Linked DNA regions of Danio rerio. The protein of the gene in region 2 purifies or fractionates together with the protein of the main gene of each other region. This does not show direct contact. Links are inferred from orthologs where the notes say so. Each region holds a gene or a part of one and is shown on either strand. Other genes may lie near its edges.

Region 1 (4,246 bases), on a different chromosome or scaffold from region 2:
GCTGATATAATAAAAGGAACACAAATCAGACTTAATTGCGACATACTTTTGAGCTGTCCGCCGACGTGCCGCGAGTCTCCGGCGTGCTCCTCCTCATAGTGGTCCTGCAGCTGGTAGAAGGACTGCAGATCTTTAAAACACAGCGGACACAGAAATCCCTCCTTCACCTCCGCCGAGTCCTCCAGTGACGGTGAGTAGATGGAGGCCATCGGCTACAGAGAACTACTGAAGCGCAGAGTCTGAGTCTATGCAGCAGCAGCAGCGCTGGGACAGCAGCAGAGGACGATCCATTCCCTCTCCATCACTGTAACACACACACTGATTTGTAGTTGTGAATTGTGGGGACATTACATAGGCTTCGTCTAGGTTGTCACAAAAACACACACACACACACACACACACACACAAACACAAACACAAACACACACACACACACACACACACACACACACACACACACACACACACACACACACACACACATATAGGTCCCCACCATAGACCTGATGCAATAAGGCACAAGGCATGCATGACGTGATTTGTTGCTATTATTAGCAGTATTATTTATTATATGCATATTTATATTTGCTTTAATAAACACAAGTGTAGATGTGTCCAGCTGTGGGGTTTTGGAGACGTCTGCATCAGCATATGGGGCATAAGAACAGGACGTGTGTTTGGATATAACTCAGTTTTCTGACCACACTTCATTATTATTGTTCATTTACGCCTTAAGTAAACATTACTTTGAAAAGATGCTGAATTTAAAAGAATTGAAACTTCACAGGAGGGCTAATCATTTTGTCTTCAAGTATTTGTATAAAAGCCCTGCACTATTATGCTTCATAACAAAAATGTCAATTTCATGCTTTCAATAAAACAGATTTCTGGTTCACTTTTAAGGTCAGGGAAAAATAAAGACTCATTAGTATTTAGTATATTTGCATATAATTTTGGTTAAATTGTAAAATGTATCTTGCTATCTTAAATGCAATCTTTAAAGGGACAGTTCACCCAAAACTGACAATTCTGTCATCATTTAATCACCTTTTACTTGTTAAAAACTAGTTTTGACTTTTTTCTTAAATTTATTTTTAAATTAATTAAAATAAATAAATAAATAAATAAATATATAGTTCCAGCACAAATTAAGCCATATATATATATATATATATATATATATATATATATATATATATATATATATATATATATATATATATATATACATACACATATATATATACATACACATATATATATACATACACATATATATATATATATATATATATATATATATATATATATATATATATATACATACACATATATATATATATATATATATATATATATATATATATATATATATATATATATATATATATATACACGCCGGATCTGGAACCTCTAAAATCTGATCTGACACCTCATTTTACCAATCCCCCTCGCTATATATATATAGTAATATATGTATAGTAATAAACAGCCATCGACTTCTATAGTATTTGGTGGTACTGTGGAAGTCAATGGTTTTAATTTTCAGCATTCTTCAAAATATCTTCTTTTGTATTCAACAGAAAAAAGAAACTAATAAAGGTTTGGAAACACTTGGGGAGGAGTAAATAGTGAGTAAAATTTCATTTTTGTGTGAACTACCCCTTTAAACTCCTCTTTTTAATGGCGTTTGTGATTGGTGCTAATTGGCATGAGGGCGGAGTCAACCTGTCACTCACATGAGATCCACCAATAACCAACTACAATCATCCAATCAATTAACCGCTGACAAAATCAAGCTCTGCCTACATTTGCTTTAGATCTAAAAAGTATATTAACGACAAGATAACGTTTATAATGATAAAATAAGAGTTTCTGTTTGAGTCTTTTGGATGAAGTTCCACTATAGCATATTATACAAGTCCATTTTATTTATTGTTTTCATCTGATGTTGGAAAACATTATATTTAACAATTATTTGATTACAATATTTCACTGCTTTTTCACTCACTCGTTCATTAATTATCAGTAATCTCTCTATGCTATGAACATATGTGTTTTTGTGTTGTCGTATTATTAGAAGGGTCATGAACACTGAATGAAATGAATAGGTTCCCATGAACATCATAATATAACAAGAGACGCAAATATAACACATAAGCAACGGATATTAAAAAATCTGAAGAATGTTAAAGCTGTAAACAATTACAAATTCACACGAAAAGTATAATTCTGTCATCATTTACTCAACCCAGTGTGGTCTGCATGTCAAAGTATTAGTAACAGTATAGATAGTAAACAGTATATACAGTAAAACATGTATATTATCTGTATATTATAATTTTTCTATAAAAAGCATAAGACAATTTCTTTGAAGAGATTAGTTTTTGCTTCTCTTACTAATGCTAACTTGCTATTATTGTGTGGATTTAAACGCTGTTGTTTTCAAATCTTTTATGTTCTAAAGAAGAAGTATGTTTTATTAAAATGACCCTAAAATACTTGCATTGGATGAATAAATAAATAGTATTAAGTAATAGTGAAATAGTCAAATACATTGTGTGTCCTCTATTGTAAACAAGCAGATTGTGAACAGGCCTCAGCTAAAGCACACTGACAGATGCCAAAAACGAACAATTATCTACCTTATTCATCGGAGACCCGCTTTGAGCCCTTTATCAAGCAATTAGCAGTAAATAGCGATAAATATCGATATTAAATAGGCTTTACGTGAACAGTAAAGCGCAGAAGATCATACTGATGATCGTGTGACTGTCCGTTCACTAGGCGTGATCACAGGAACAGCGCGCGCGCACGTCAGAGCGTCGTGTCAAAATAAAAGTCCCCTCTACTAGATGAGACACAGCTGCAGATACTCTCGTCAATATATAGCATATTTTTTGCGACATATTTTTACATTACTGTGACGGCTGGAGTAGGGTTGACGCTGATAAAATACAATTTAATGCGTGATTTATTTAATAATACAAATTATTATCGTTATAATTACTGTTTTAAAATTACTGTGATGGCTGGTTTTAGGGGTAGGGTAGGGTTAGCGGTAATAAAACACAATTTATTGTGTAATTAAATTAATAATATAAATAACTATCGTGTACCTGCGGCAGCAGCTGTATCATTTCTAGCAACAACCCTATTACTTTTATTCTATTGACGAAAAATTACCTACATCTTCAATTAGTACATTATTTGATTATAATAGAGTTAATTATTATTAGTAAATTACTTTTCATTTTGTGGGTGAACTGTCCCTTTAAATTTGAGACTGCCCTCCAACCTGAACCGTATGCAAACGTCCTGTTTAAGCAATATAATTTTTGTTTAATTTAATTATTATTAATGTAATGAGTTTCTCAGACACATATTTAATTCAAATTGTTTTAAATGCACATTTGTGAAACAGTCATAGATATCATTGGTATGGAGGACCAGGAGTGCCATTTAGAAATAAAACAAATAATAAATTCATCAATTTAATAGTTGAAGCATAGAAATGTATAAAAAATATGCCAATATAATTGAGCAAATGATGGACAAATAAATAGACGTAGTTAAATGTGTTTATTTAAATTGTGTTTTTAAAGGTCATTTAATAAAGAAATAAAGCGTTGCATTAAAAAATAATTCATGTATAAATAAATAGTTAAATGTTTATTTAATTCATCATTCAAGACACTGATTAATCAAACAGTAAAAAAGTATATTAATAAATATACTTCTAATAAGACATTTGACATTAATATAGCGCTTTTCTGGACACTCAAAGCGGTTTACACATTGGGGTAACATACACATCCTCATCCACCACCAGAGTGCAGCATCCACCTGGATGACCTGATGGCAGCCATATTGCGCCAGACCGCATATCACACACCAGCAGATAGGTGGAGAGGAGACAGATGATATGGGGATGATTTGGAGGCCATGATGGACAGAGGCCAGTGGGCAGATTTGGCCAGGACACTGTGGTTAAACCGCTACTCTTTTTTGAAGGACATCCTGGGATTTTTAACAACCACAGAGAGTTTAACTTCTCGGTTTAACGTCTCATCTGAAAGACGGCGCACACTGAGCAGTATAGAGTCCCCTTCACTATACTGGGGCATTAGGACTCACACGGACAACAGGTTGGGCGCCCCCTGCTGGCATCACTAACACCACTTCCGGCAACAACCTAGCTTCCCCATGTGGTCCCCCATCCAGGTACTGACCGGGCGCAGCCCTG
Region 2 (3,967 bases):
TGCTGTCTAAAGGTAAACACTTTTTAAATCCCACCACTCTAGAGAAGGCTGTCCATGCTGTTATTACATCACGGTTAGACTACTGCAATGCACATTACTGTGGCATGTCAAAATCCCAGGTTTCTCGCCTTCAGTTGGTCCAAAATGCTGCTGCTAGATTTATTTGTAATAGCAGAAAACATGACCACATTCCCCCTCTTCTAAGAGGACCTCATTGGCTGCCTGTCCAATTCAGAATTGATTTAAAGTGCTTTTACTGGTAAATAAATCCCTCCATAATCTAGCCCCATCCCATCTCTCAGAGCTGCTTCATTTTTACACTCCCCTGAGATCTCTTATGTCAAGTGATCAGAATTTTCCTTTGGCGGGTCCTTGGTTGTGGAACACTTTGCCCCTTGAGATTAGAATGGCTCCACTATTATCCATTTTCAAATCACTTCTTAAAATATACATCCTTAGCTTGGCTTTTGAGATTATTTTAATTGTCCTTTCTACTGCTACATTTTACAGACGTTTCTCTAGCTTTATTTCTGTTTTTATATTCAGTCAGTCTTGTGACTGCTTTTAAATGTGCTCTATAAATAAATGAACTTGAACTTTATGAAATAAATTGTTTAATTGTAATGTGATTTTATTACTTTGTTTACAAGAAATAAATAGTGCACTAGGTTTATTATTTTAGTAACTTGAAAACGTACAGTATGAAATATTAAAGAAAAACATTTTAGAAATGAAATACAGCTAGTACATTAATTTCATAAAATTCATGAGCTAATTTCTAAACAGTAGAAGCTATGGATTTGAATCATATCCTGCAGTTGTTTTACTCTATTTAATTTTATCTATTTAATTTTTCTTTTAATATATATATATATTCATTTTAATCATGTATGTATTTTTTATTCAATAAAAATAATACATAATAGAAGCTAATAGTTAACAGCATCTGAAACGCTCTTTCGCCCTCACCAACATGGCGCCTCATTTACTCCGTTTTACGTAGCAGCCTTGAATTATGGGATATTTGTCATGTACTGCTACCAGATCAGTTACTACACAACACGACCATTCTAAACCCTCAAATCGTTTTAAATTCCAGCTGTTCCCAGATCAGAAGCAGACTGACGCCTCGCGTACACCGGAAGCACTAGTGGGTCTTCTCCCATTGTCAACAGTAAACTGTATACGTGAGTTTACTGATGAAAACTGCTTTATTCACCCTTTAAACAACATTGAAACCATCTGATAAATCGACTTATTCTCAGTAACACGTAGAATATATATATAAAACGCCAAAATGAACGTGACTCTTGCTGTGAAACAGTACATTTCCAAAATGATAGAGAGCAGCGGACCTGGGATGAAGGTGCTGCTGATGGACAAGGAGACGGTGAGTCAATTTAGGATATGCCACTGTGTTTTAAAGGCTTTAAAGATCAATAATAAAAGCGCACATATGTATGAACCACAGATAAACTAGTACTTTGTATAGTATAAATAGCGTTTGCTGACCTGTCATGTGTCAAACAACTGAACTTTAACTCTGAAGTAAATGGCAGTCAGCAGGCTAACGTTACATTGAGGTAAAGTTTATATTCGGACTTTCGCGTCCAATAAAATAGTGAAGCAGAATTTAAAAAGGTTAGGGTTAATACAGGTTGATTATAACGACGTACTGTTATGGACAATGATATGTAATCTCAAGGGGCGACACGGTGACTCAGTGGTTGCTGGGTCAGATGGCATTTCTGTGTGGAGTTTGCATGTTCTCCCCGTGTTGGTGTGGGTTTCCTCCGGGTGCTCTGGTTTCCCCACAGTCCAAACACATGCGCTATAGATTAAATAAATAAACTAAGTTGGCTGTGTGTGAATGTGATAGTGTATGGTAGTTTCCTAATACTGGGTTGCAGCTGGAAGCATATCCGCTGTGTAAAACATATACTGGATAAGTTAATGGTTCATTCCGCTGAATGAAGGGACTAAGCCGAAGTCGAATGAATAAATGTAAACTCAAAATAATAAATAATTCTGATAGTAAATTCTGAGGAAACAAATACTTCTGAATTTTTGTCACAATTTGTTTTTGTTTTCATCTCTCAAATAAGAAATGTTAAAAAGAAAAAATACATTTGCCTAAATTCTAAGAAAAAGTTAGAATTGTGAGATATCACAACAATAAAAGTTAACATATCGCTATCATTCCTTTTTTGCTACTTTTTTTTTCAGAATCAAGAGATGGAAACTACACTTAGGGTGCTTTCACACCTGTGAATTGATTCATTTGTTCAGAAACAGGGATTAAATTGTTACAGTGTTGCTCTTTGCTCTTGGAGCAGTTTGCTTTCACACTGCAAAGTTTAAATGGACCAAAATAGCTAAAACAAGTCATGTCCCTACTGAAAAAAAAAACAGTATAAACCAGCCTAAGCTGGTCAACCAAGCTGGTTTTAGAGGGGTGTTGGTCACTTCCATGCTGGTTTCCAAAATCACAATTTGCTCTTTATTTAATCTCGCTCCAAACCTGTAGACACCAGTACCAAACAGCATTGTTTATTTGTTTTCTAGACCAGTATAGTGAGCGTGGTCTACACACAGTCTGAGATCCTGCAGAAGGAAGTTTACCTTTTTGAGCGCATCGACTCACAAAACCGAGACAACATGAAGCATCTTAAGGCGATATGCTTTCTCCGCCCGACCAAGGTAGACCTGTTTTTAGTTTTATCATGGTCTTTGATTTAGACTAGACATGTCTAGATTATTTCATACTTCTATTATATAATATTTCACACCCTCTTTGATTTCAGGAGAACGTAGAGCACCTGATTCAAGAGCTTCGGCGGCCCAAATATAGTGTCTATTTCATCTGTGAGTGCAAGTAATTTACAGTTCAACACAAAAGCCATCCCATGAAGTATTTATTCTTTTTAAATGTTTCCCGAGTTATGTTTAATAGACAGATTTTTTTTCAACACTTTTTAAAATATAATTAATTTCTAATAATTTATTTATTTTGTCTTGACAGTACATACAATTTTGCTAGTTATTTAGCAAGATATAGTGTTTTGTTCTGTAGTCAAAAAAATGAGACATCTGTGACTCACCGGCCACTTTATTAGGTACACTGGTCCAACTGCTCGTTAACGCAATTTTCTAATCAGCCGATCACATGGCAGCAACTTTAATGCACTTAAGTATGTTACAAACAAGATATGCAGCAACATCTCTGAATGCACAACACGTCCAACTTTGAGGTGGATAAGCTACAACAGCAGAAGACCACACCAGGTGCCACTCCTGTCAGCTAAGAATTGGAAACTGAGGCTACAATTCACACAGGCTCACCAAAACTGGACAATAGAAGATTGGAAAAACGTTGCATGGTCTGATGAGTCTCGATTTTTTTATTTATTATTTTGCTGCGACATTCAGATGGTAGAGTCAGAATTTGGCATCAGCAACATCAAAGCATTGATCCATCCTGCCTCTTATGAATGATTCAGGCTGGTGTAGGTGGTGTAATGGTGTGGGGGATATTTTCTTGGCACACTTGGGCCCATTAGTACCAATTGAGCATCGTGTCAACACCACAGCCTACCAGATTATTGTTGCTGATCATGTTCATCCTTTTATGACCACAGTGTACCCTTCTTCTGATGGCTACTTCCAGCAAAATAACGCATCATGTCATAAAGCGTGAATCGTCTCAGACTGGTTTCTTAAACATGACAATGAGTTCACTGTACTCAAATGGCCTCCACAATCACTTGATCTCAATCCAATAGAGCACTTTTGGGATGTGGTGGAAAGTGAGATTTGCATTAGGGATGTGCAGCCGACAAACCTGCAGCAACTGTGTGATGCTATCATGCCAATATGGAGCAAAATCTCTGAGGAATATTTCCAGTACCTTGTTGAATCTCTGCCACGAAGGCTTAGCCAGTACTAGTAAGGTGTACCTAATAAAGTG

Evidence for each region.
Region 1: the proteins of vps45 (region 2) and rbsn purify together in Homo sapiens (affinity purification with mass spectrometry; 4 studies listed by BioGRID and IntAct, counting the BioPlex papers as one, with this or other methods). This does not show direct contact. The link is inferred for Danio rerio from reciprocal best matches to the Homo sapiens genes VPS45 and RBSN.

What each region holds. Positions count from the first base shown.
Region 1 is NC_133183.1:63,169,212-63,173,457, forward strand, and holds the start of rbsn (rabenosyn-5), read right to left. Parts: upstream 2,809-4,246; 5' UTR 2,646-2,808; exon of another isoform or gene 2,613-2,645; intron 363-2,612; exon of another isoform or gene 305-362; 5' UTR 210-304; coding exon 47-209; intron 1-46. UniProt on the Homo sapiens protein: Rab4/Rab5 effector protein acting in early endocytic membrane fusion and membrane trafficking of recycling endosomes. Required for endosome fusion either homotypically or with clathrin coated vesicles.
Region 2 is NC_133194.1:45,250,892-45,254,858, reverse strand, and holds the start of vps45 (vacuolar protein sorting-associated protein 45), read left to right. Parts: upstream 1-1,167; 5' UTR 1,168-1,297; coding exon 1,298-1,390; intron 1,391-2,565; coding exon 2,566-2,700; intron 2,701-2,804; coding exon 2,805-2,865; intron 2,866-3,967. UniProt on the Homo sapiens protein: May play a role in vesicle-mediated protein trafficking from the Golgi stack through the trans-Golgi network.